Arabidopsis thaliana: one gene and its partners. The protein of the gene in region 1 interacts with the protein of each later gene in a pairwise test. Each region holds a gene or a part of one and is shown on either strand. Other genes may lie near its edges. The genes, in order: AGL54, AGL83 and GIS2.

Evidence for each region.
Region 2: the proteins of AGL54 (region 1) and AGL83 interact in a two-hybrid assay, tested with the Arabidopsis thaliana proteins (one large-scale study listed by BioGRID).
Region 3: the proteins of AGL54 (region 1) and GIS2 interact in a two-hybrid assay, tested with the Arabidopsis thaliana proteins (one large-scale study listed by BioGRID).

The regions. Positions count from the first base shown.
Region 1 is NC_003076.8:9,530,059-9,535,209, forward strand, and holds AGL54 (AGAMOUS-like 54), read left to right. Parts: upstream 1-1,681; 5' UTR 1,682-1,786; coding exon 1,787-2,350; 3' UTR 2,351-2,639; downstream 2,640-5,151. Other genes in the region: CDC20.3 (cell division cycle 20.2, cofactor of APC complex-like protein), read right to left, coding at 1-1,023; GLR2.1 (glutamate receptor 2.1), read right to left, coding at 5,102-5,151.
Region 2 is NC_003076.8:20,072,548-20,077,680, forward strand, and holds AGL83 (AGAMOUS-like 83), read left to right. Parts: upstream 1-2,780; coding exon 2,781-3,638; downstream 3,639-5,133. Other genes in the region: AT5G49500 (Signal recognition particle, SRP54 subunit protein), read right to left, coding at 5,009-5,133.
Region 3 is NC_003076.8:2,040,290-2,045,458, forward strand, and holds GIS2 (C2H2 and C2HC zinc fingers superfamily protein), read left to right. Parts: upstream 1-3,129; 5' UTR 3,130-3,196; coding exon 3,197-3,772; 3' UTR 3,773-3,911; downstream 3,912-5,169. Other genes in the region: EXT10 (Proline-rich extensin-like family protein), read right to left, coding at 1-1,639; AT5G06645 (gibberellin-regulated-like protein), read left to right, coding at 544-684, 760-1,053. UniProt on the Arabidopsis thaliana protein: Probable transcription factor required for the initiation of inflorescence trichomes in response to gibberellin and cytokinin. Is not involved in the regulation of trichome branching. Is functionally equivalent to ZFP8.

The DNA of each region.
Region 1 (5,151 bases):
AGTTTCTACTGAATTCAAGCAAGCCCCAGTGTGTGTATTCCAGAACTTAATCTTCCCATCTCCTACACCACCACCAGTTGCAAGCAAAGTTGCTTGGAAAGGGCACCACGCAAGAGCTCTCACTGCAGCTGTATGTTCCTCAAACCTATGCAGCCATTGCCTAGTTGGTTTTGAGGAAGCGACAGAACGATGATCCCATATGTGTACTACATTGTAGTTACCACCACTTGCTAGTTTTTTTCCAGATTCTGACCACTTAAGACCACAAACCTCTTCAGTGTGACCCAAGTAAGTTCCAACAATGGAAGATCTGATCCTCACATCATTGTTGACGATCTTTCCATCCATTCCTCCAGTTGTTAGAATGTGATTGTTCCATGCCAATGATCCTACTCTTGACTCGTGACCACCTATCAATGTTCTCACTTGACGATTGGAAACAAAATCCCAAAGCTGGACTTCACTGTTGTCAAGACCAACTGCCAGATCAAGACCATCTTGCGTCCAGTTAATACTTGTGACAGGTCCCTTGTCTTCATCAATAGTCACAAGCTCAGACGTAGAGCCACTGGAAGCATCCCACAAGTAAACGGTGTCTCCCAAAGCAATGGCTAAGACGTTAGCACTGCCCCAGTCCAACAAGTTAAGGTAGAAGTCATCCATAAGACCAGGTGCATCCAAGACTCTCTCACTATTCTGAGGAATGTATCTACGAGGCTTTACGGATTTAGGGTTTTGGTGAGGAGAATCAGAGTGATTGCTAGAAAGCAGAGCTTTAGGTTTGTTTCTGAAAGCAAGAATACGGGTGCGATTCTGATTCATAACCACAGCCAATTGCGTCATGTAGGCTTTTCTTGATGCTGAAGTTATCTCATCGACATTACGTTTTCTTCCTTGGGTAAGAGCGTAGTTAGCAAAATCGAAATCCATGGCGGATCTGTTTGGGATGAATCTGTCCAAGTTTTGCTTGGAAAGTTTCCTCGGAAGAAAGTGGTCTGGAACTGTACACGTATCCGAATCCATTACAACGAAACAGAAGGAATTAAACGAAATTAGAGAAAGGGGACTAATCAAATAAAAGCTTGCAGAGAAGAGAAGTAAGCGTTAGTAAACAAGTTAGAGAAAGAGACAACGACTAATCAAATATATTCGAGCAGAGAGAGCGAAGAGAGCGAAGAGTTTTGTTTAGCCGCTGAGAGGGAAGCGAATGATGAAGAACATATATTGAAAATAGTGGAATCAATTTAGTTTTTTTTTTGTTGCTGTCCTTAAATTATATAGAAAATGTTTACTACAACGGTTAGATTGATATTTGTAAAATCGGATCTAATTTATATTTCCTCTATGATATCAAACATACAAAGGATTTTTATTAGACGTGATCAAAATAAAAAAAAGAAGAAGAAGGATTTTTACTACAATTATTGAAAAACCCCAACGGTTAGATTAATATCAGAACCGTGTTACACAATTATCAGATTTTATTTTCTCTCTGATAAGCTACTTCTTTCTTTTTTTTTTTTCTTTTTTTTTGTGTAAACAACAATTAAGGGTTTTTGCTTACCTTAATTAATTATTTAATTATTACCTTACAACGGTTAGAAATCGGATCTGATTTTAGATTACATCATTAAATGAAGAAACGATATGGAAATCGATCGAATTTAACAAATTCTATATAACCCTCTCAACTTTCACTGAATTATATCGTTCAGAGTTTATTTTCTCTTTGAGAAATAACTGAAAGCTTCTTTTTCTTTCTTTCTCTGTGTAAACAAACATCACAATGGATTCTTCAACGTCTACGAAGAAGAATACCAAATTGTTTGTAAGAAACCAAACTTGTTTCAAGAAATCGTCTCTGTCTTCTTCCAATGCAAAAAAGACCACGAATTTGTCGATGAGAGAACAGACCATGTTTAAGAAAGCCTTGGAGCTTTCGACTCTGTGCGACATCGAAGTCTGTGTCATATACTATGGTCGTGACGGAAAACTCATCAAGACATGGCCGGAAGATCAATCTAAGGTTCGAGACATGGCAGAGAGGTTTAGCAGATTACACGAGAGAGAACGATGCAAAAAAAGAACCAACCTTTCTCTGTTTCTACGTAAGCAGATCCTCCACGACAAGAAATTGTCGGAGAAAGTCTTAGAGATGGAGGATTCGTTAGAAAGTGGTCTACGGGTACTACAAGATAAGCTTCTGTTACTCCAACCCGAGAAAAACCAGACCGAGTTAGGTCAGAGCTGTGCGGTTTATTCCACAACGTATCCATTGTCTTCTCCTTCGCTGATTGAGGATCATCAACATCAACAACAATGGACAGAACCATTGTCAAACACAGAGTAAGACCTATCAACGTCATCATTGAGTCAACATGAGAGCAAATTTTCAGTCTTTCCCTATAACCATGATGATTGTAGCTTCTGTCAAATCCCTAACTCTGTTTCTAGCTTTGAGCAATCGACTTTACTTGGGGAACAAGGATCTGGTCTAGGAAGTAACTCTGATCTTCCTCCCATGGTGTTTACTCCTCAGATGCAGACACAAACCCCACTTGTCCCCTTTGATCAGTTTGCGCCATGGAATCAAGCACCATCGTTTGCAGATCCAATGATGTTCTCTTATAATTAGGTCTTGTTGTTCCAAGATCTGTTCTTTGACTTGGTCAACGTTCTGTTATTTTCTATTATATATTCTCAGTTTAGGTTATGAGTTTAATTTGTATGTTTTCTAAGTATGTATGAATGCTATTTTTTCAAGTTTTAAAAAAAGTCTTGGCTTCTTCTATATTTGTATGAGTCTACAATTTGAGTTTGAAAACCTGCTTTATTAAGATCTTTAATATACAATAGACATTGAAATGAATGCTAGATGTACATAATTTATGCAGATAAGCCAACTAATTGAGTAATTGAGCTTGTCTCGGTGTGATCTTCAGTTTAATTTTACGAATCGATTTAATGGAAGAGAAGATAATAGGATAAGCAAATTACTGCAGCTTCCGACAAAAGATGATGTCAAAAGTAGTGTTTTGTCCAAGAGGTGGAGAAACTCTGGCTTCGTTGAATTTAGATTCCAATGAATTTCCAGATTACAATGCCTTAGTGAGTTTTGCTGATAGGTCTTTAGATTCCTCTAAGGATTCATGCTTGTACAAGCTCAGGTAAAGTGTGTCCGGAGGATTGAGAATGAACAGTTTTGTGTCAGTGTCACGTGGTGGATAGATTCTGTAGTTAAGCGTTAACTTAAGCATCTTGATGCTACGTATCATGTGAAGCGTTAGAGTTTTAAAAGTGATTCCACTAAGTCTTTATATATGTTAGACATTGGTGTACTTAAAGACTCCATCAGGTTTTGATGCGTGATTTCGAGTCAGTTTCTTTACCTTATGTCTAAGTTCATGTGTTTAGAACAGAATGTATAAGCCAATGGTGAAGCTATACAATTGCTTATCTTGTCTTGTTCAGTTCTTGAAGATTTGAGCATTGCAAGAAGGCTAGATGATAATGTTAAGGTTTTAGGAGTGGACTTCTCAGTCATTAATCAGTCTCAGTGTTGAGTTTCATGAAATGAAAGCTGGTGCCCTTGTTTTTGATCATGAACAGAGGTTTAAATTGATGCCTCTTGTTTGTATGGAAGCTCTTCAATATTTTGTATGGAGCTGCGAGGAACTGAAATTGCAACCTTAAAGACTTTGTTCTAACTGAGATCTAAAACTAAAATCAGAGAAGACCAAAGAATCAGTGAAATCGGAGAGATTAGACGGAATACAAAGATCGATGAATTATACACATACCAACCAGAGCATAGAAAGAGAATCGGAGCAATATCAAAGGTAAAACTAGGCAAAAAAAGGAAGAAGTAAGGGGTAAAAATGAGAGGATTAATCTACTTATTCTATGTACAACAACAACACAAGAACTTAATTTAGTACGCAGAGTTTAATATAGTCAATTAGCCATTATCTAACCAAGTAGAAACTTGTAGGCATGTTTCCATGTTTGATGCAATAAGGTAAATCGAAATAGTTAATAAAGGATTCAAAAAGGAAAGAAAATAACATTACATACTCCTGACTCACAATAAGATCCTGTCATCACTGGAAAATCAACAAAATTTCAGCCTAGTCATACTAGTAGGTAACTTATAATCCTATAAGCCAAAGTAAGCTGCATAAACCAAACTAACCACAAGCACTGTCACCATTGAAAATCAACAGAATTTACAACTTTGAATTCCAAAACGCTACATAACCTAGAGGTAAGAGCTGCATAGTTAGTTACTGGTGGTGGATGAAAGAAAATTAACTTGAAGCTAAACTAAACTAAAGAAAATTCTAGCATTCACAACGTCATAAGCCAATGATAATTATATGATGCAAAACCAATCAACGAAACATATTAGAAAGAAGGAACCATATTAACAAGAACAAACCCACAAATATCCTTAAATATAATTCAGTCACAATTTAAACTTTAAAAACAAAATCATTTATTCATGGATACAAGACTTAATCTGATAAAAATTAAATCAATAATGGAGTATCGGAGGAGAACGATTCGATTTTTTGTGACCTCGGGCTGTTCGATCCACCGTGATCTCATAATCTCCACCGACACAGGGTCTCAACGGCGACTAACGGGCCATCGTTACCGACTGATTCCATCTGTTTCCCAGATCCGGTAAGCTTTTCTGGCGCTAGACAACGAACTTGTATCCACTGTAAATTTTGCTTTCAACTCACCCTTCTGGATTGTTGTTCTTCTTATTGGCATGCTTCGGTGAGTTGGTTAGGTGTAGATTCAACGTTTATTCTGAGCTGATTCTTTGACTTTGTAGTTTCGGGAATTCAAACTATCTGTGGGTTAATTTTAATCTGTAAAATGCTCTTTGCTTCTTTGACTGCATAATTTTTGCTATAGACAATCGGTGCTTTAGGTCATTAAAGGGGAGCAGATTCTTAAACCTTTTTTTGTTTTTATCACAATGAACAATGATCATCAGGATCCTCGGAGGTGTCTCTTTTGTTTGGAATTTTCAAAGATGTAATGAAACCTTTGTTTGAAATAAGAAAGGAAAACAATAGATGTGCTAACTTTAATTGCCATTGTTTACTGCGTTTGCTCCTTCTTGGCCATTCTTTGGCA
Region 2 (5,133 bases), about 11 Mb from region 1:
GAGGAAAAAATGGGCCGCTACATCAAATTTTGAATAATTTTATTATTCTGTTGGAAAACAAAAGAGATCTCTTAAGCCATACTGAAGTTTCGAACTCGAAGATGATACATCTTCACGAAACTACTAGACAATCGTATATTTTGCAAAAAGACCAAATTTTTGTGATAAGCTCTCTCTGTATAGAGCTAGGATTTTCCGATCGCCGTTCAAACGAATCTATATATCCAATAGGTGTTGATGAATTTGGGAAATACATACTTCATGAACAGCATAAATGCATAATTCAATATTTGGTTCATACAACCTCTATTGTTTAATAATTTCTTTGTTGTTCAAAGTTTCCTCCCCAACTGCAAAATCGCAAAAGAGAACCTTAGTTATCTTGTAACATCCAAATACACAGAATCTTGAAACCAAAATTGATAAACAGACTTTAAGATGAATCCAATTTGACCTAATCCAGATCGAGATCGAGACTACAAAAGCACAACTGAAAATTTTGAAGAACGGTTTGAAATTAGAAGATGATCAAAGTAACCTTTAAGCTCGACCAATAAAAAATAATTACCAATCTTTTATCTCTCTTCCTGGACACGGATCCATACGTAGTTGTCACTAAATCTTCGCTGATCGGGATAAAGAAACAAACCTTCAACTAAGGGTTTGAGACCAAGAAGATCTTCTGAAGTTGCAAATGGATTAGCCGCATGGTTATTGTAAATCACATTAGTCTCATCGCGATTGAGTCAGTGAGTATTAGATGCTTGAAACGCGAGGTTTGTTTCGTGCACCGCCGAAGAATTTCTAATGTTCATACAACCCCAAACGCAGGCGCCACCACATAAATGTATTACTTATCCCACATTTGTATTTAAATCCCAAAAAATTATATTTGAAGTTACTGTCTTTTCTTTGTCTGTTCTAACCTTTCATCTTGCTAGTTATCATTAAAAAACTACTATAAACTTTTAACGCTAAAGATGTATCATGGTGATATTATTAGTTTAATTTTGGAATAAATTTTGGTGAAAGTTAGAATTAGATTGTTAATTTTCACCTCAACTTTATGTTATTTTGACCCCTAATTTTGTCTAGATTTGTTGATATTGCATCTGGACAACTTTTGCTCTATCGGCAAGATTTTGTTGTGGGATATGATTCGTGAAACCTCTTGAGTAAAATAGTGGAACTTATAGAGGAAATGTATAGATAAGAAAATTGAATTATAGAGTAATAATATTTTTTCTTAAATTTTGTGGAGGACTAAATAAATCACTCTAATATATTCAACCAGTTAAATTAGTTGTATTTATTAACATTAAATTTAACAAGTTGATACTGTAAAATTAGTTTATAATCTTGTATTGATCAAATTGTCTCACTTGTATCTTCCTATAATCTCACAGTAAAATTTTATAATTAGTCAAATTTTGATACTAATATTTATGTAAAAAATAATTATTATTTTTATATTTCATTTAATATTTTGATAAAATAATAAATATGCAATGTCCAGCAATACTAATTTATTGAGGTTTTATTGTGTGTCATGGAGTTATTTTTTTCATGGATACATTTCGAAGAAATATAACTATGATAAGCATTACTTCAATTTACACAACTAGTGAGTTTTAAACAGATTTAGGGAATCAGCCAATATGGTTCAAAAACCTTTTTTGTAAAGATTTACATACATAATAAAGTTCAATTTGCAGGAAAAAAGCATTACTTGAAGATAATAAAAATTTTAGCGCTCTAATGAATTCAAACGACCTTCTCTTATACAAAAAAATCATAAAACTCATTTAAAAAACATAGAGTCGAGCTTGTCTTGTAGCGCAAACTACGCTTGAGAACTATGTGGTACCTCTTTAGTTTTTTTTTTTAATCGTGATTTGCTAAATCTATTAACCAATCCAGTCATATTGTTAAAAACTATTGTGGAAGAAAGAGCAAAAGAGAGTAGGTGAAATCATTGGGCCAAAGAGGGATGCTCGATCGGGTTCTCCTTCAATTCCTTAGTTGATTCAAATTTTATTTTACAATCCATTAATAAATTAATTCACATATACCTTAACCCCAACCTTGACAACAAAAAAATCTTAAATTAAAATTTAAAAGATAAATCAACATTTCGTTGAGCTCATAGTATGTGAACTTTTCTAGTCATTATGGTTTGTCCTAAAACAGTATGTGAACTTTTCTAGTCTTTTCATATCGCTGAGAGCTAAGTCATGTTTCTTATTCTTAAAACAATAGTCTCTACTCTCTCATAGTAATGTTGGTCTTGTCATAGAGGTTTTGATGTATAGTTACATGATTATTTGGTTGGGCTTAATTTCATTTTATAACCGTTGCATAAATATCATTCTACTTTTTTTCTGTATTGGCGGTAATTCCTTCTTGAATATATTCCTCTAAAAAAAAATCAACTCGTCATTCTCGAATATTTTTAATTTATTTATATAAGAAAATAATAAAGGATAAAAAGAAGGATTCTGGTGGATAGTTGGAACTTAGCCCATACAATATTACGTTGCATGGTTTACTCTATTTAGTAGTTACGTGAACCGTACGTTAGAGATTGAAATCAAATTGGTTTGGTTCAGAATTGGGTTTTGTTGGAACGATATCGGTTTGCTGTGGTACATAGTCGAAACTAGTTTAGGTGGATGATGAGGTTTCGATATTTCCTTTTTTATTTGAGATTCGATATTACCTTATTCATATGAGATTCAATATTTCCTTATTTATATGAGATTCAATATTTTCTTATTTTTATGAGATTCGTTCCTTATTTATACGAGATTGAGAGATTATGGCTTTCACTTGTCAATTATCTTTCTCCACGCAAAAACAAAAACCGTCGCTGTGGTGAAATAGATAAAATCAGAATGGTGAAAAAAGGAGGTACGAAGAGGAAGATTGCGATTGAGACGATACAGAAGAGCGATTACCTTAGGGTTACTTGCACCAAACGTCGTGAAGGTCTCTTTAGCAAAGCTTCTCAGCTTTGTCTTCTCTCCGATGCACAGATCGCTATCTTAGCGACTCCTCCTACTTCTGAATCCAACATCTCCTTCTACTCTTTCGGTCACTCCTCCGTTGATGCCGTTGTCTCTTCTTTCCTCTCCGGGCAACGTTGTGTTCCTCTTCAGGAGGATACCAAAGAGATGAGAGAGGACGTTGCTATTTGCTTGTCTCGTACAAATCTAGGGTTAGGGTTTTGGTGGAACAACGAGAGCCTCAACAAATCGGAGAATCCTCAAGAGATTAGTGACGCTATCAACTCTATGTTAACGCTCTTGAGTAATCTCAAGGAATTGAGTGGGGAGGAAGCTTTAGTTAACGATCACAAGGACTTGAAGAAGAATGAGAGGAGCGATGTTGTTTTACAACACGGAACTCAATATGAAACCCTAAATCCTAACTCCAACACTACTACAATTTGTTGCGTCCCTGATGAATTACCTGCCAATTCCAACGAGATTGTTGGAATCTCACCAAATCCTTTGATTATGCTAGAAAAGAAGAAATCACAAATTGAAGAAAAGTTTGAGAAGGAATGGCAAGTTTCAGTTACTCGAATTGAAAATGAAGCCACGAGTTCTTATGCAAAACGAAGAAGAAGTATATGACCTGGATTAATTGAATTAGGAAAAAGAGCATTCTTATGCAATAAGGACATTTACAATTATGCTTTAGTTAAATTAGTCTTTCCTAGAAGAATTATGTTAAGCATTACTTTGTTATATGCTCTCGTGTATATGCTCTCTCACGAGAGCAAGAAGCAAAACTTCTATTTATTTCTTTTGAACACAATTTGGAGTTCTTACACCAACTGCAGCCGTAGTTTTTTTTAGTAGAAACTCATATAATTAAAAAAAAAAAAAAAAAAAAAAAAAGAAAAGAAAGAGATGAGAGAGAATCTCTGAAATTTCTAACTTTAGAATCGTTTCTATAATTCTTATACGTTAGTATTTTTGTTTTTTGGATATAAAAGTAAAATATTAATACTTTTTGGTTTTTAGACACTATATAAATCCTATACGTTGGAGGTGCTTTAGTTTCTTACCACAAATCCCAACGTGATGTCGTTTTACAACATAGAACTCAAGAGTCAAGATCAGTGGCGGACCACGTTGGTCTTGGGTGGGGCATGTGCCCTACACTGAATTCTATAAATCCTTTCTCAGTTAAAATTCAGTATAAGCAGCATGGCTCCAATAGAGTGCACCAAGTTTCATTTTCCATATAGTAGTCGATCGTTGGCTCCAACCTTACCAAACAAACAATGAACCAAGAATATATATGTTTTAAACATTGGCACAGAGCGAACTCATCTATCTTTTGACATGAATTCTTTGAGAGATTCAGATTTTTGAACTTGGAGTGACTACAAAGAGATTGCACCATATATACTTGTATAGTTGTATACACCACAACATTAGGGAAGTATCCATTAGTTAGCACCCATATATATACTTGTATAGTTGTATACACCACATCATTTTTGCCTTAATTAATTACTAACAATTCAGAAATACCAAAAATATCTAAGGATAACTCTCACATTCATCGAATTATTTTAAATGAAAAAGTTTCAAGCTTATGATTTTGTCAACAATATATTGCGGTTCGATCATCGATTATACTAACACAGACCATACTTAGTGTATATTCGATATGCTTATAATTAGTTGCAAACATGAAAATTAGATTTTATGTTTATCATCAACATAATACCAAATTTGAATTTGGACGGTAAACTACTACGACAATAATAACCCAACCAATAGACTATAAAGTTACAGATTAGTTAAATACATAAACTCGATTAACTAACACGGAGAATCACATATTTTCATGTCCTAAATTTTCTCTCAATCACACTTCACCACTACAATAATATTTCAGTCCTGTCTACCAAAAAAATAATAATATTTCAGTCCTCGCTCAACACTCATTATCTCTAGTAGCTATGTTTATAGTTTTGGACTGGAAGAAACTACTCGTCTCGGCCACCGAACATTCCCATCAGGTCTTTACCTGAACCCATCTGCTTCATGAGACTCTGCAGACCACTCATGCCGCCAATCTGCTTTAGCATCTGAGCCGGTAGGACCTTACTCA
Region 3 (5,169 bases), 7.5 Mb from region 1:
TAGGCGAAGGAGAGTAGTATGGTGGGGGATGGGAGCTGTAGACGTATGGTGGTGGTGGAGATTTGTAGTTTACCTTAGGCGAAGGAGAGTGGTATGGTGGGGGAGGGGAACTGTAGACGTATGGTGGTGGTGGAGACTTGTACTCAACCTTTGGTGAAGGAGAGTAGTAAGGTGGGGGAGGGGAGCTGTAGACGTATGGTGGTGGGGGAGACTTGTACTCAACCTTTGGTGAAGGAGAGTAGTAAGGTGGAGGAGGGGAGCTGTAGACGTATGGTGGTGGGGGAGACTTGTAATCAACCTTAGGTGAAGGAGAGTAGTATGGTGGGGGCGGGGAGCTGTAGACGTATGGTGGTGGGGGAGACTTGTACGCAACCTTTGGTGAAGGAGAGTAGTAAGGTGGGGGCGGAGAGCTGTAGACGTATGGTGGTGGGGGAGACTTGTACGCAACCTTTGGCGAAGGAGAGTAGTATTGTGGGGGCGGGGAGCTGTAGACGTATGGTGGTGGGGGAGACTTGTAGTCAACCTTAGGCGAAGGAGAGTAGTATGGTGGGGGTGGAGAGCTGTAAACATACGGTGGTGGTGGGGACTTGTAGTCAACCTTTGGAGATGGAGAGTAGTATGGTGGGGGTGGGGAGCTGTAGACGTATGGTGGTGGTGGGGACTTGTAGTAAACTTTTGGAGATGGTGAGTAGTACGGTGGGGGTGGAGAGCTGTAGACATATGGTGGTGGTGGGGACTTGTACTCTACCTTAGGAGAAGGAGAGTAGTATGGTGGAGGTGGAGAATTGTAGACGTACGGTGGTGGGGGAGACTTGTATTCAACCTTTGGCGAAGGAGAGAAGTATGGTGGGGGTGGGGAACTGTAGACGTACGGTGGTGGGGGAGATTTGTAGTCAACCTTTGGCGAAGGAGAGTAGTATGGTGGGGGTGGGGAGTTGTAGACGTACGGTGGTGGTGGGGACTTGTAGTCAACCTTTGGAGATGGAGAGTAGTACGGTGGGGGTGGAGAACTGTAGACATATGGTGGTGGTGGGGACTTGTACTCTATCTTAGGAGAAGGAGAGTAGTATGGTGGAGGTGGAGAATTGTAGACGTACGGTGGTGGTGGAGACTTGTATTCAACCTTTGGCGAAGGAGAATAGTATGGTGGGGGTGGGGAGCTGTAGACGTATGGTGGTGGAGGAGACTTATAGTCAACCTTCGGAGAAGGAGAATAGTATGGTGGAGGTGGGGAACTGTAGACGTAAGGTGGTGGTGGAGACTTATAATCAACCTTTGGTGAAGGAGAATAGTATGGTGGAGGTGGAGAGTTGTAGACGTTTGGTGGTGGTGGAGACTTATAGTTTACTTTTGGAGAAGGAGAATAGTATGATGGAGGTGGTGGAGAAATATAAACGTATGGTTTTGGATGTGGCGCGTACTTAGGGCTTTTGTGTTCATGGCTGGGAGAATTGTAATGTGGGGTTTGAGGGGATGAGTAAGGAGAGGAGTAAGGGTATGATGTCACTGTAGCCGCAATGGCACTTAGGACCACAACGTAAACCATGCAATGCCCTAACCCCATCGTTCTTGAGGATCTCATCATACCCATCTCTTTATTTTTATTTATTTGTTTTGGTTTTATGTTATACTTGAACATGAATACCATTTATATAGTCTTTTTTTGTGTGTGTAAATATTATACTATCTTCTCAAGTTGGCTTCGTGTGTGGCACTTCCAATTACATTAGAGGACGTGCAATGTTGTTTGTTTGAAATAAAGTAGCAATTCGATCGTGGAGAATATGAAATTTTATTAGATCCTCAATTTTTGAAATATTTGTTCGTTTTCTTTTGTTTGAACTTTGTCAACTCAAATAATTAGAAGAACAAAAGACTATTAATGATTATTTTAGCTATTGAGAAAATTTTTGTTTCATAAATTTTATGTGACAAGGGAAAAAATATTTTATTTCTCTTATGATGAATTAAAAGGCTGTGTATTAACTACTGCTTTTGTTTCTAAAGGATTATTGAAGAATTTTAGGGTATATTAGAGTTGCTTAAGCTGTTCTTCTTCTGTTAAAGCAACTGCATGCGAATCGATCGTGTGAGCAACGTTTGGTTCACGACCATGTTCTTTCCTCATGGGCGACCACTTTCATGATCCATTATAATAAAACAAATATGACGAAGACAAATTAACATAATATATCGTCACTGTTGCAGTTTGTTATGGAGAGTAACATTAATGAATCTGTTTTTAACAAGATCGTACTTCGAGACGAAAAGCAAAATCCAAACACAAAAAAAAGTAATCGCGCAGATGAGGAAACAAAGATGTGACACCACGCAGTTTACCATCTAACTACATTAATTTGAGGGATCCACCTGAAAACTTGTACTATATGTTAATTCATATGCATGGTTGTTTTATTTTACTTTTTGGTCTTGTGGTTAGTATTACCTACTCAAAAATGAGGATTTGATTAGATGAGGCAACATACAATTTGATTAACTACTCAAAAACATGGTTGTTCTAAAACTGACCATAAGGAAGAAAAAAATGTATATATATCACGACAGAGATTTGAAGTTTTGGACTAAAGCCTCACACATAGCCATCAGTGTTATATACTGTATATAAGCTGTCACTATTAAACATAGAAACAGGAACCTTAAAGATACAACTATATACTATCTTGACATCAAATACGTGTACTAAAACCTTTTCATAAAAGATGCATTGACATGACATATCAATGATGGTAGTTCGACGGGTAGAAATCATCAAGGCAAATCCGCATTTGAATTGAATGCTCACTAGATTATCTACAAGGAGACAAACCAATTAGCTCACTAGTTTAGTTCAATTCTTGTCTGGCTAATCCTATCTACATATACAAGACTATAATATAGCAAAATTAGAAAGAATATAGCTAGAAACGGGTAAATATATACTACTTACCAAAAACTAAATGTGCCTGAATAGGTCTATTATAGTTAATAGTTATTCAGTGTAAATTATCTATGTACATACCCCATCGGGAATTAAATGCAAGAAACATAGAGGAGACCGTACTTCGAAGTTGCAAATTTAACACTAAGTTGAAGAATCTAGAAATAGAAAGCCAAAATCTTCCTTTACTTCAACTCTACAATTTCAATCTTTTCTCTGTACTTAGCCATCCAGAGTCATAACCACCACTATATTAAAATGAAGACTTATGATTTCATGAACGTCAACTCTTTCTCTCCTAAGGAAAGACCCATTCGCCTCTTTGGCTTCGAGTTTGGAGCTTCTCATGAAGAATCTGAGTCCAAAGACAATTACAACGAGAACAATGAAAGCATCAAAGACGATAACAAAGAAAAAAGATTCAAGTGCCACTATTGTTTCCGGAACTTCCCTACTTCACAAGCCCTAGGCGGCCATCAAAACGCTCACAAGAGAGAACGTCAACAAACTAAACGCTTCAACCTCCATTCAAACGCAGCCGCTTTCTTCCACCGCCAACAAAACCACATTGCTGCTTCTAGGCTCTACGAGGATCGCTATAGCCTTGAAGCTGTTCAAATCAACGACGCGAGATTAGGGTTATGTCGTATGTATAACTCATCTGCGAGTTTTAATCGTGACCGTTCATCTTATTATAATAGATATATTCCTTGGTTCATCGGTGATCACCAGACTAGACCAACGTATGTCGGTGGTGGTAGCAGCAGCCATGGTCTGTTTTACGAGTCCAAGAAGAATGTACCGGACCACGTGAGTTTGGATCTACGCCTCTAGTTCCATTCTTTTAGTATCTCTCTCTAGCTAGTTCTTAAAAAAAAAAAAAGAGAGACTAGTTTTTTTTCCTTCTTTCAAATACTTTTTATTTTATTTTAGTCTACTTGATTAATTATGAATTTATGATAGTGTATCCCCGTAGATATCATGTTATATTAACAGTTAAACAATTTTATGGAGATGAACTTTAACTTCAGATAGTTTCTTTCTGAGATTTAAAGTCTTAAATATTATCGACGCATTCCAATCTCAGAATAGGTTTATATCTCACATTATAAGTATAGAATTGAGAATGGACCTTAACCCATGAAACTTAACAAAAACAAAATTAACATATGCTAAAATCTTCGGATTGTATTTTAAAATCGCTACTTGAAACTTCAACTTGTATCTAAAAAGGTAAAATTATTAATTGAATAATATAGTGTTTAGAAGCGAAACATTCGTCAATCACATCTAACGACGGTTAAAGTATGTGATTAATTGGGAATATTTAAATGATCGATTTGATAATCAGCAAGACAGCAACCATAAAAGTGGACACTTTAATTTTCGTAAAAAACAATTTGACCTTTTATTTTCTAAAAAAAATATTCAAATATCAAAAAATACGAATTTATTTGTAACATTTTTTTCGATTTTTGTTTTTTAATATTGTTATTTTTTTCATTTGACACATCGTTATTTTCATATTACTTACCATAAACCCATTTATCACCAATAGAAATTATCCTCGAACCTTCTTTTCAACCACACCAGTTTATTTATTTAACATTCTCTTTAGAAACTTTAAAGCATAGCTTAAAGTAGTACGAAACCGAAAACTTAACTAACACATTTGTTAGCTCAACTCTCTCTTTTTTAAAAAAAATCGTCAATTATTTTGCATTTCTTTTTTGACAACATATATTTGGTTTCGAAAGACCGTTTGATTGGTTATGAAATGTCCACGCCAATAACATTAACTCTCAAATCTAAATCGAATCAGTAAAGGGTCCCAAGGGATACATCACCACTAAGTTTAAACTTGAAAATGTTTACATTTTTCTTTCAAGTTTTTTTGCCTCCACCTAAAGACAAACCAAATAAATGTTTAAATTTATTCGAATTGTGATGTAAATAACGCCTGAATGCAGCATTTAATAACTCAGTTTCTGACAAGAAATACACATCCGCCTAAATAATTCCGTTAGCCTTAATGTTTATACAGATGGATTAACGTATGGACTCAAGATAGACACATATCGTTGAGAACAATGTACTAGATGACCTTTGATGAACGAATGAAAGGTAAAGTATCCATAGAGAGCAACATTGAGATATATGAAGAAGAGGAAAATCGTTTTTAGAAGTTAATAAGTATAGTTTATTTAGTTGGAATTGGATAAAAGTAATGT